2 linked regions of the Mus musculus genome follow. Each later gene encodes a partner of the first gene's protein in a complex. Links are inferred from orthologs where the notes say so. Each region holds a gene or a part of one and is shown on either strand. Other genes may lie near its edges.

Region 1 (4,482 bases):
CTCAGCTAGCTGTTAAAAGCCCCCTACTGTCACCACTCGGGTCGAACTCCCCTGCCCTGCACTGTGGAGGGACTTCGTCCTCAGCTAGCTGATAATAAAACCTCTTGCAGTTTGCATCAGGTGTGGTTTTCTCTCGAGATGTTGGGGTGTTGGCCAGCTCATCCCGGGACTTGAGCAGAGGCCCAGCATCGGGGGTCTTACAGAACTTCTTAAAGTGAGACCATCTTAAAGGGACCCATACCTAAACACGGAAAAAAACAAAACAAAACAAAGCAAAAAAAAAAAAAAAAAAACCAAACCAACCTAGCTGTTTCAGAAAAATTGTTCAACTGTCACAAACTGAATTACACTGGAGAAGTCAAGTCTTTGAGAGCTTTCTCCCTAGATTATAAATAAGATATTTCTCCAAGTTTTCATTTTTTATGTTGTTTTGTAATCCAGGTGATCTTAAAAATATGTTTGGTAACGCACACCTTTAATCCCAGCACTTGGGAGGTAAAGGCAGGCAGATTTCTGAGTTGGAGGCCAGCCTGGTCTACAGAGTGAGTTCCAGGACAGCCAGGGCTACACAGAGAAACTCTGTCTCGAAGAAAAAAAAATTTTAAAAAAAGCTTGGGTGTGTGTTCCCAAGCAAGCAGTGACTATTGTAGGTTAAGAAGCACGGGTCCCATAGCTCACGTTCTCTTCGAACTTCTCACCACCTCCTAATGATGAATCTGTTTCTCCTTCACATCCCCAAGCCATGGATGGACTTTAAACATTTCATAATTTATTTTTAAATGGTGCCTTGAGCACCCCAGCCTGCTAGTACAGATTGATAATCCCAGTTACTCAGGAGGCTGAGGCAGGAGGATCACAAGTTCCAGGCCTGCCTGGATTGTAGAGGGTGCTCCAAGACAGTCAATGACCATCTGGGCCCGAAGTATAAGGAAGACAGGTGATGCAGCCTAGCGGTAAAGCACTTGCTTGGCGCTAGCATGTCCTGTGTTCAACCCCCAGAGCATGATGCCCTAAAGTGTAGGCGTTTCCTGCTATAGGGCCGAGAGAATAAATGGTGGTGCTTGGGATCACAGGTTTCGGGGTTCGAGGGGAGGTCTGTGCGGCCGCCAGCCCGGCCTGTTTCCCACCTGGATTAGGATGGATCCAATGGGGTCGCTGTCCTCCTGGGCCTGCGCCATGACTAAGGAGGGCAGAAGACACTAGGCTCCGGAGGTATGGCCTCCTGCGGAGCGCTCCTAGATGGTGCGGGCACCCGTCACCATAGCAACGCGGCGCGCGCGACCGGCGCGCTCCACTGGAGGAGCGGGGAAGGGGGGTGTGAGGGCCAGCCGGAGCCTCGGCTGCCCAGCGCGCGGCCCCGCCCAGCGCGCGTGCCCGGATCATCTCCCCCGCGTGCCCGCTGCAGTGGTACGGCCCAAGGCGGAAGCAGCGCCGGCGCGGAACCCGCTCTGCCGCAGCGATGGCTGCCGGTGTACCCTGCGCGCTGGTTACCAGCTGCTCCGCCACCTTCACCGGGGACCGGCTGGTGCAACGTGAGTAACCCGACGTCTGAGCCGGGCTGCAAGGCCCAGTTCAGAGCCATGGGCGCAGGGCCGGCGACCTCTCCCGGGCTCTGCCCGAGCTGGGCCCTAGGCTCCGGCTCCTCCGCAGGTCTCGGCGCCAGGCGCTTAACCTTCTGCCTGTGTAAAGTGAGGCCGGTTTCTGACCTCCCGCCTCAGGGGTGGTGGCAAGCACCCCCTAAGATGATATTCAAGACCCCGGAAATTGTGCTCTTAGACGAATGTAAGGCGCTGGAGTTGCGGTGTTGTGTTTGGGGGTTATGCCCCTGCTGCTGGGGTAGTGGTTCCTCTTGTGAACTGAAGTGCTCAGCAAAAAAACAAAAAAACAAACAAACAAAAAATGCACGCGCGTTAGTGTTCTGCCAGGATGATGGACTGACCAGAACTCCTGTGATTGTGGAGAGCTGGAATTTTAATAACTGTAGCCAGATTCTCGTGGACTGTCTCTAGTCTCCTTCTTAGCCATTTGTTGCCCACTTCTGTGTCTGACCTAATATCCTCTGACTATCAGGTAAAGTCCTTTTGGGAATAAGCAAACAGACCCCCTAGCTTCCATCAACCCAAAGGCTAAGAATTTTATCAGTTGGTGTCTGAGGCCTACAGCAAGGGCTTCCACGATGTGCTGTAATCCACCAACCTGTTGTTCCCCTCAATGTATTTTTAGAACATCCTGATATGTAGCTTTGTTGTTCCTATAAGAACACCATGGAATTGTTATTGCCACGTTGGAACATTTGACTTGAGGCACCCCTGATTCCTGTTCCCTTTTCATGATCCCTCATATTTGGCTCCAGAATAAACGCTTACTCCCTTAGAGATGAGAGCTGTGGGCGTTCTTGATTCCCTCCCCTTGATTGTGTGTGTGTGTGTAATGTACATACATGCATACTTGTGTGTACATGATATTTGTTGGGTGCCCCCTCACTTGCAGTTACATTTCTTGAGTTCTTTCTGAGGTGAAAGTTCCCCGGAAAAAAATGAGTTTGAGGTGTTACTGCACCCAGTGCTTTTGCTTCTGGACCCTAAGGGCTATAAAATTCAGGGTTTTGTTTTTGTTTTTGTTTTGTTTTTTTTGCCTTTGTTGTGCATACGCGAATATACGTGTGTGTGTGTGTGTGTGTGTGTGTGTGTGTGTGTGTTTTCTGCTTTTTAGTCCCACTGCTCTGTGCATACTGAGCGTGGCACTCTACCTCAGAGATAAACCCCAGCCCCACCCCAAAATGAGCTCTGAAATGTAGGTCAGAGAGACTAGTGAGCTAGAGCTGAGGAGGCAGCTCACTGGCCAGGTCTATGGCTCTGACTGTGGGCAAGTCACTGAACCTCTGCCCTTCATCTTCCTATCTGTGGGCTGAGGATTATGTTTGGCCACAGGCCAGCACGTGGCAAGCATTGGATAAGTGGTTGGCCTTATTATAAAAGCGTATCACCTGTTTAACTCAGGCTTTGCTGAGCCTTAAAGGGGGCACATGAAGAGGTGTCCTGGGAGACCGTGGGTGCTGGCTTGCAAATGCGGCCGAGCCTGTAAAGCATCGTGCAGTTTGTAATTATTTTCTACACCTGTTGACAGAATTAGGCATGCTGTCGTTCCTGCACGGGTATTCTATAACTTGCTTATTCTGAACACTTAGACAGTTCCTTGCTAGGGCAGAAGCTTAGTTACAACATTCATAAATGAGAACCAAACTCTTTGCCATTCTCTTACTTCCCCTAAGCAGTGCTCCCCTTCCCCCATCCCCCACCAGGGAGTGCTCCCCTTCCCCCACCCCCCACCAGGGAGTGCTCCCCTTCCCCCATCCCCCACCAGGGAGTGCTCCCCCTTCCCTCCCACCAGGTCTCCCATCTTTGCCCCTTCTACTTCATGTTGAATTTAGTAAAATTTAGCATATGGAGAAAAAAATGTTAGCTGACATTTTGGTGGTGTTTTTTTTGCCATCTCCCCGGGGCCCCTGCATATTTTCTGTATTTTATAATTATTGTAATTATATAATTCTACTTCATATGTAGTTTTTAGCCTGGTGTGTGTGTGTGTGTGTGTGTGGTGTTGATGATGGATTCCAGTGCCTTGCACGTGTTAAGCAAGTGCACTACTACTGAGTCACACCCTAATCCCCATCCTGATATTTTTTTAACACTAAGTCAAAAAGTACTTTCTATTGTACATCCATGCAGTGAATATACCAGACCTTTCTGAAGGCGTTTATGGGTCTGTATTTATCTGACTTTCAATAAAATGTATATGCATTTAGAGTCCTATTAGTGATAGGTGAATGATCTTTCAAAGGCAGGCTCAGGAATATTATATATTCTGATAGCTATGGTGCTCTGTCTCCCTTTCATCCTCCAAAAAGGTCTTGTGTGTCTCCTAGGCCAGCTCTGAACTTGTCCAAGTGTTGAGCCCGCCGTGCCTGGCCCGGTCCTGTTTCTCAAAGATCAGAACTGGCAATCGTGGTCAGTTCCTTGAAAGAGCTGATCGACCACCAGTAGCCAGCAAATGGTGGCATTCTTCCTTTGTTCTTTAATAGAGACTTTGAACATTATTGGTGTGTGTGTGTGTGTGTGTGTGTGTGTGTGTGTGAAGTTCTACGAAACAGCCCATTTTGTTTCTGTATGCAGAGTGACTTAGGAAACTCTAATTCTTGTTAAAATTAGGTGCCACTCATCAGTGCTCCACACGTCAGCAGGGGAAGTGCAGAAAAGCCAGCAGATGGTTTAAATAAGTAAAGCAGGAAAGAGGGCTGGCCAGTTCTTACAAGGTCATGGGGACGGAGGCCTCAGATGGCGTTAAAGACGGACGGACGGAGTTACACTATTCAGGGAATGGATTTAATTTGGGGATGGAAGACAGAGACCACCACGATGAGTGGCTGTAGTCTAGGTAGGACCCGGGTTTCTGATTGACTGGGATGTGCCTTGATCTGGAAGA
Region 2 (3,808 bases), on another chromosome or scaffold:
TGTCAGTTATGCAAATGCCTGGGGCCCTGTTACAGTCAGGCTTCTGTGGCACGTGCCTTTACCAGTTCACCACTTCGACCATATGCAGGTGCAAGCATTTTTGCATTCAAAATTAACAGACTCTACAATTTGACCAGTCAACCAAAAATGGCATACAAGATTTGTAAATTCCACTGATAGGGAGTGTATGTACTTATTCATACCATTACTAGCAATGGATATTGGCACTGAATTTCCTGTGGCTATGGGTTCAGTTTGCCTTTCTCTTGACTTCTTGGAGTTACTGGTATTATTAGACATTTATTACCCTCCCCCATCTTGCTTTGTCTGTGAATTGTTTATTATTTTGCTGATGTTTTGTTTGTTTTTCTGTTTTGGTTTTTTGAACTCTTGAATATGAATGTAGAATAGGCTGGCCTTGAACTCACAGAGATCCACTTGCCTCTGCCTTCTGCGTACTGGGGTTAAAGATGTGTGCCACCACTCTTGGTTTTATAGTTTGTTTTTCATTTTGTTTATCTTAGGTAGGGATTTTCAAAAATTCCTTCTGCATTGAGAGATTTATATGATTTTGTCAGTAGGAGAATAAAAGGAAGGGATTTAAAGGAATGACTCAATTCTTGCTGGCATGTGACAGGGTATGGTCATGATCAAACATGGTGGCTGGTAGCTTGTGTGACTGTGGCAGGTGATAAAGTCAGGCAGAGGAAAGCAGAGAGGTAGGGTTGGCAATGTGGAATCCTCTATGCACATGGGAGAATTAAAATCTATCTTGAATCCTTGACCTCATCAAACACAGGGTAGAGCAGGAGGAGTAAAACAGAACCATCCAGAAGGTCTGAGAAGGAGTCTTCAGTGCCAGAGGAGGACTGTTCAATGACACAGCTAAGCTTAAGTGAGCAAGGAAGAAGAAATCTTGTCATCAAGAAACAGATTGGCAGGGGCTAGAAAGATGGCTCAGGAGTTAAGCACACTGACTGCTCTTCCAGAGGTCCTGAGTTCAGTTCCCAGTAGTCACATGGTGGCTCACAACCATCTATCATGGGATCCGATTTCCTCTTCTGGTGTGTCTGAAGACAGCTAGTGTTATATAGTAAATAAATGTTAAAAAAAGAAAGAAAGAAAGAAAGAAAGAAAGAAAGAAAGAAAGAAAGAAAGAAAGAAAGAAAGAAAGAAAGAAAGAAAAGAAAAAAGAAACAGATTGACAAGGGTATCAGATACTTCTGAGGTGAGCTCAAAGAAAGATGGGGGACTTTCAGCTAGATGGTTTAAAGAAAGCAGCTTCAGTTGGGCAGATAGGATGTGGGTGCACAAGAGTCAGTTTCTAGTGACTTGTGGAGTAAGCAGTGTGGAGGACAGCAAGAACATCATAGAAGCATTCTTGGGTTGAAGCGTCCATACAAGGATGGCTTTACTTGTATATCGAGACCTGTCAGTCTCTCTGTTGGTCTTTGACCCCAGTTAATGTGCAGTTTTGATAACTTGAAGCTTCAGTGTCATATGGGAATCTGCTCACAGTACAGGTTTGTAGACCTGATCCAGACCCACTCATCCCTTAGAGCAGGGCTTGCAGGAAGTTTTTAGGAGTCTTAACAGGTAAGTTTGACACATTCAAAAACTGGCAGTTCACTAACCTGACAGCCAAGATCGTGAGACCTGAGTGCAGGAGAATTGAGGTTCTGGACTTACACTTAAAGAGCATCAGGGACCAAGTTTCTGCTTGTGTGTGTGAGCACAGCACCTAGAGGTCTCCCTCCCCTGTGGAGTCTCTTATTTTCCGTTACAACACAAAACATTGCATTAGTTACTTTTCCATTGCTGCTGAAATACTGTGACCAAAAGCAACTTATTGAGAGCAGTTTCTTTTGATTTCTAGTTCCAGAGGCATTCATAAAGGCAGGGGAGGCATGCTAGCGTGGCAGGAGCAAGAAACTGAGGGATCACATCTCGATCTCAGAAAGGAAGCAGAGATCTGCAGAGTATGAACCGGGAGAGGGATGAGGCTATAAACGCCAATGCCTGCTGCTGCTGACCTGCTTCCTTTAGCAAGGCTGTAACCTCAAATGCTCCAAAACCACCCCAAGCGCCACCTGCTGGTGACCAAGTATTCAAATACTTGAGACTATGGGGGACATTTCTCTTTCAAACCACCGCAAACCTTATTATCTAAAGGCATGAGCTACTTTAATAGGATTTGGTTTTTACCTTTGCTAAGGTCTAGAATTCTCTGCTCCCATCTTTATGTCCTTGAACTGTTATGTGGTATTTTGTGTTTGGATATCACCTGAATTGAATGGCAATATTGGAAAAGCTGGAGATGGTGGCAGATGCCTCTCCTGATTCTACTGCAAATTTATCAAAACTTTGTTTGTTTGTTTGTTTTTTTTCTTACCAGGTCTGTGAGCTGGATATTATCTTTAATTTTGAAAAGGCATATTTTATCCTTGATGAGTTTATAATAGGTGGAGAAATTCAGGAAACATCCAAGAAAACAGCAGTCAAGGCCATTGAAGACTCTGATATGTTACAAGAGGTCAGTATGGTTTTCTATGCCTGGGGTAATTCCAGCACTAATTATAATATAGTTAACACTGAGGACTGCACCCACATTTTGTTCTGAGCATAGCGTCCACTTTAAACAATTTGCATGTATTAGCTTACTTAATTTTTTCAGCAATTCTAACTAGGTGTTAGCCTGTTTTTTAGTGAATGAATAGAGACTTGCTGTGAAATGTTCGGCTCATTTTCATAGTTAATAAATATGAAACAGAGCTTTGGACCCTCACGGTTTGGTCCTGAACCTTTGCTTGTCCTGTTTGGCTGAACTTCAGGGTCTGAAAATACCTGACCCTCTGAAGTGTATGAAATGCTTGGTGCTATTCTTTGCAAATGTAATTTTATGAGATGTATAAAAAGACTTTCATTAAAATGTCTGCTCTGCTCTGGGAAGGAAGAACAGCAGCACGTAGTTATTTCATTTGCTGGATATATTAGAGATGGCATTTGTCATTTTAATTGAAATTTCCCACCTCTCTTGGGAAGGCCTTAGGTCTGTGCGCTCTTGTTTGCATGAATAGATCAGGAGCACGGGTAGCCGGATTGCAGAGGTATAAATGGGCCCTGAAGCCTGGGCTTGGTACTCCTCCTGATCCTGTGCTTGGTACTCCTCCTGATCCTGTGGTTGCTCAGAAATATTCTGGAACTTTTCTTTTTAGAAGCATCCCAGATTTGAATCAGACCTAATAGGGGAACATAATCTGCATTAGCTCCTACAAGGACAGTCAAAAAGAGCACTGTGTTCTGTCAACCCTTGCCTTCTAAAAGATATCAAACTTACCTGTTAATTTAGTCTAGACTAAATGATTTAGTCCTAAACCAAGCATGTTTCCGGGTGCCTAAATTCTGTCCCACCTCTCCAACAATATCAGTGGGAAAAGGGACATTTCTTTTTCCCTGTCTGTTCCATTCTACTGGTTGTTTGTTTGTTTGTTTGTTTTCTCTATCAAGACAAAGTCTTATTATGTAACTCAGGCTGGGTTTGAACTCACAATCCTCCTGCCTCTCCCTCCCAATTTGCTGGGATGACAGTCATGTACCACCCCTGGCCTCAGTGGGTTTTTCCATCTTCCTGTTTTCATAACAGGTCAAGAGTCAAGAGGATTTCAAGAATTATAAAGTACCCTTTTAAAATTGGTGCTAAAGTCATTCTTCCTGCTATTTGGAAATAAGAGACTGGTTAAGTTAATAAGACATTAGGCATGATTTCCCAGCAACTGTCTTGGCAGTACTGTGAGCTGATTACTTACTT

Evidence for each region.
Region 2: the proteins of Aagab (region 1) and Ap1s3 are in contact, whole or in part, in a crystal structure (PDB 9DDT), measured with the Homo sapiens proteins. The link is inferred for Mus musculus from reciprocal best matches to the Homo sapiens genes AAGAB and AP1S3. Residues at the interface, in NP_078942.3 of Homo sapiens: Asn51, Lys52, Tyr53, Tyr54, Glu108, Val109, Met110, Ile111, Gln128, Ile132, Gly135, Phe136, Glu137, Asp151, Phe153, Pro154, Glu155, Arg161, Gln164, Ala165, Asn167, Ala168, Asn169, Val170, Met176; in NP_001034658.1 of Homo sapiens: Arg10, Gln11, Lys13, Arg15, Gln37, Leu40, Ser41, Arg61, Tyr62, Ala63, Ser64, His85, Val88, Asp92, Phe95, Val98, Glu100, Leu101, Asp102, Ile104, Phe105, Asn106.

The regions. Positions count from the first base shown.
Region 1 is NC_000075.6:63,601,240-63,605,721, forward strand, and holds the start of Aagab (alpha- and gamma-adaptin-binding protein p34), read left to right. Parts: upstream 1-1,406; 5' UTR 1,407-1,459; coding exon 1,460-1,532; intron 1,533-4,482. Other genes in the region: Iqch (IQ domain-containing protein H), read right to left, coding at 1,128-1,178. UniProt on the Homo sapiens protein: May be involved in endocytic recycling of growth factor receptors such as EGFR.
Region 2 is NC_000067.6:79,612,928-79,616,735, reverse strand, and holds part of Ap1s3 (AP-1 complex subunit sigma-3), read left to right. Parts: intron 1-2,395; coding exon 2,396-2,533; intron 2,534-3,643; exon of another isoform or gene 3,644-3,808. UniProt on the Homo sapiens protein: Subunit of clathrin-associated adaptor protein complex 1 that plays a role in protein sorting in the late-Golgi/trans-Golgi network (TGN) and/or endosomes.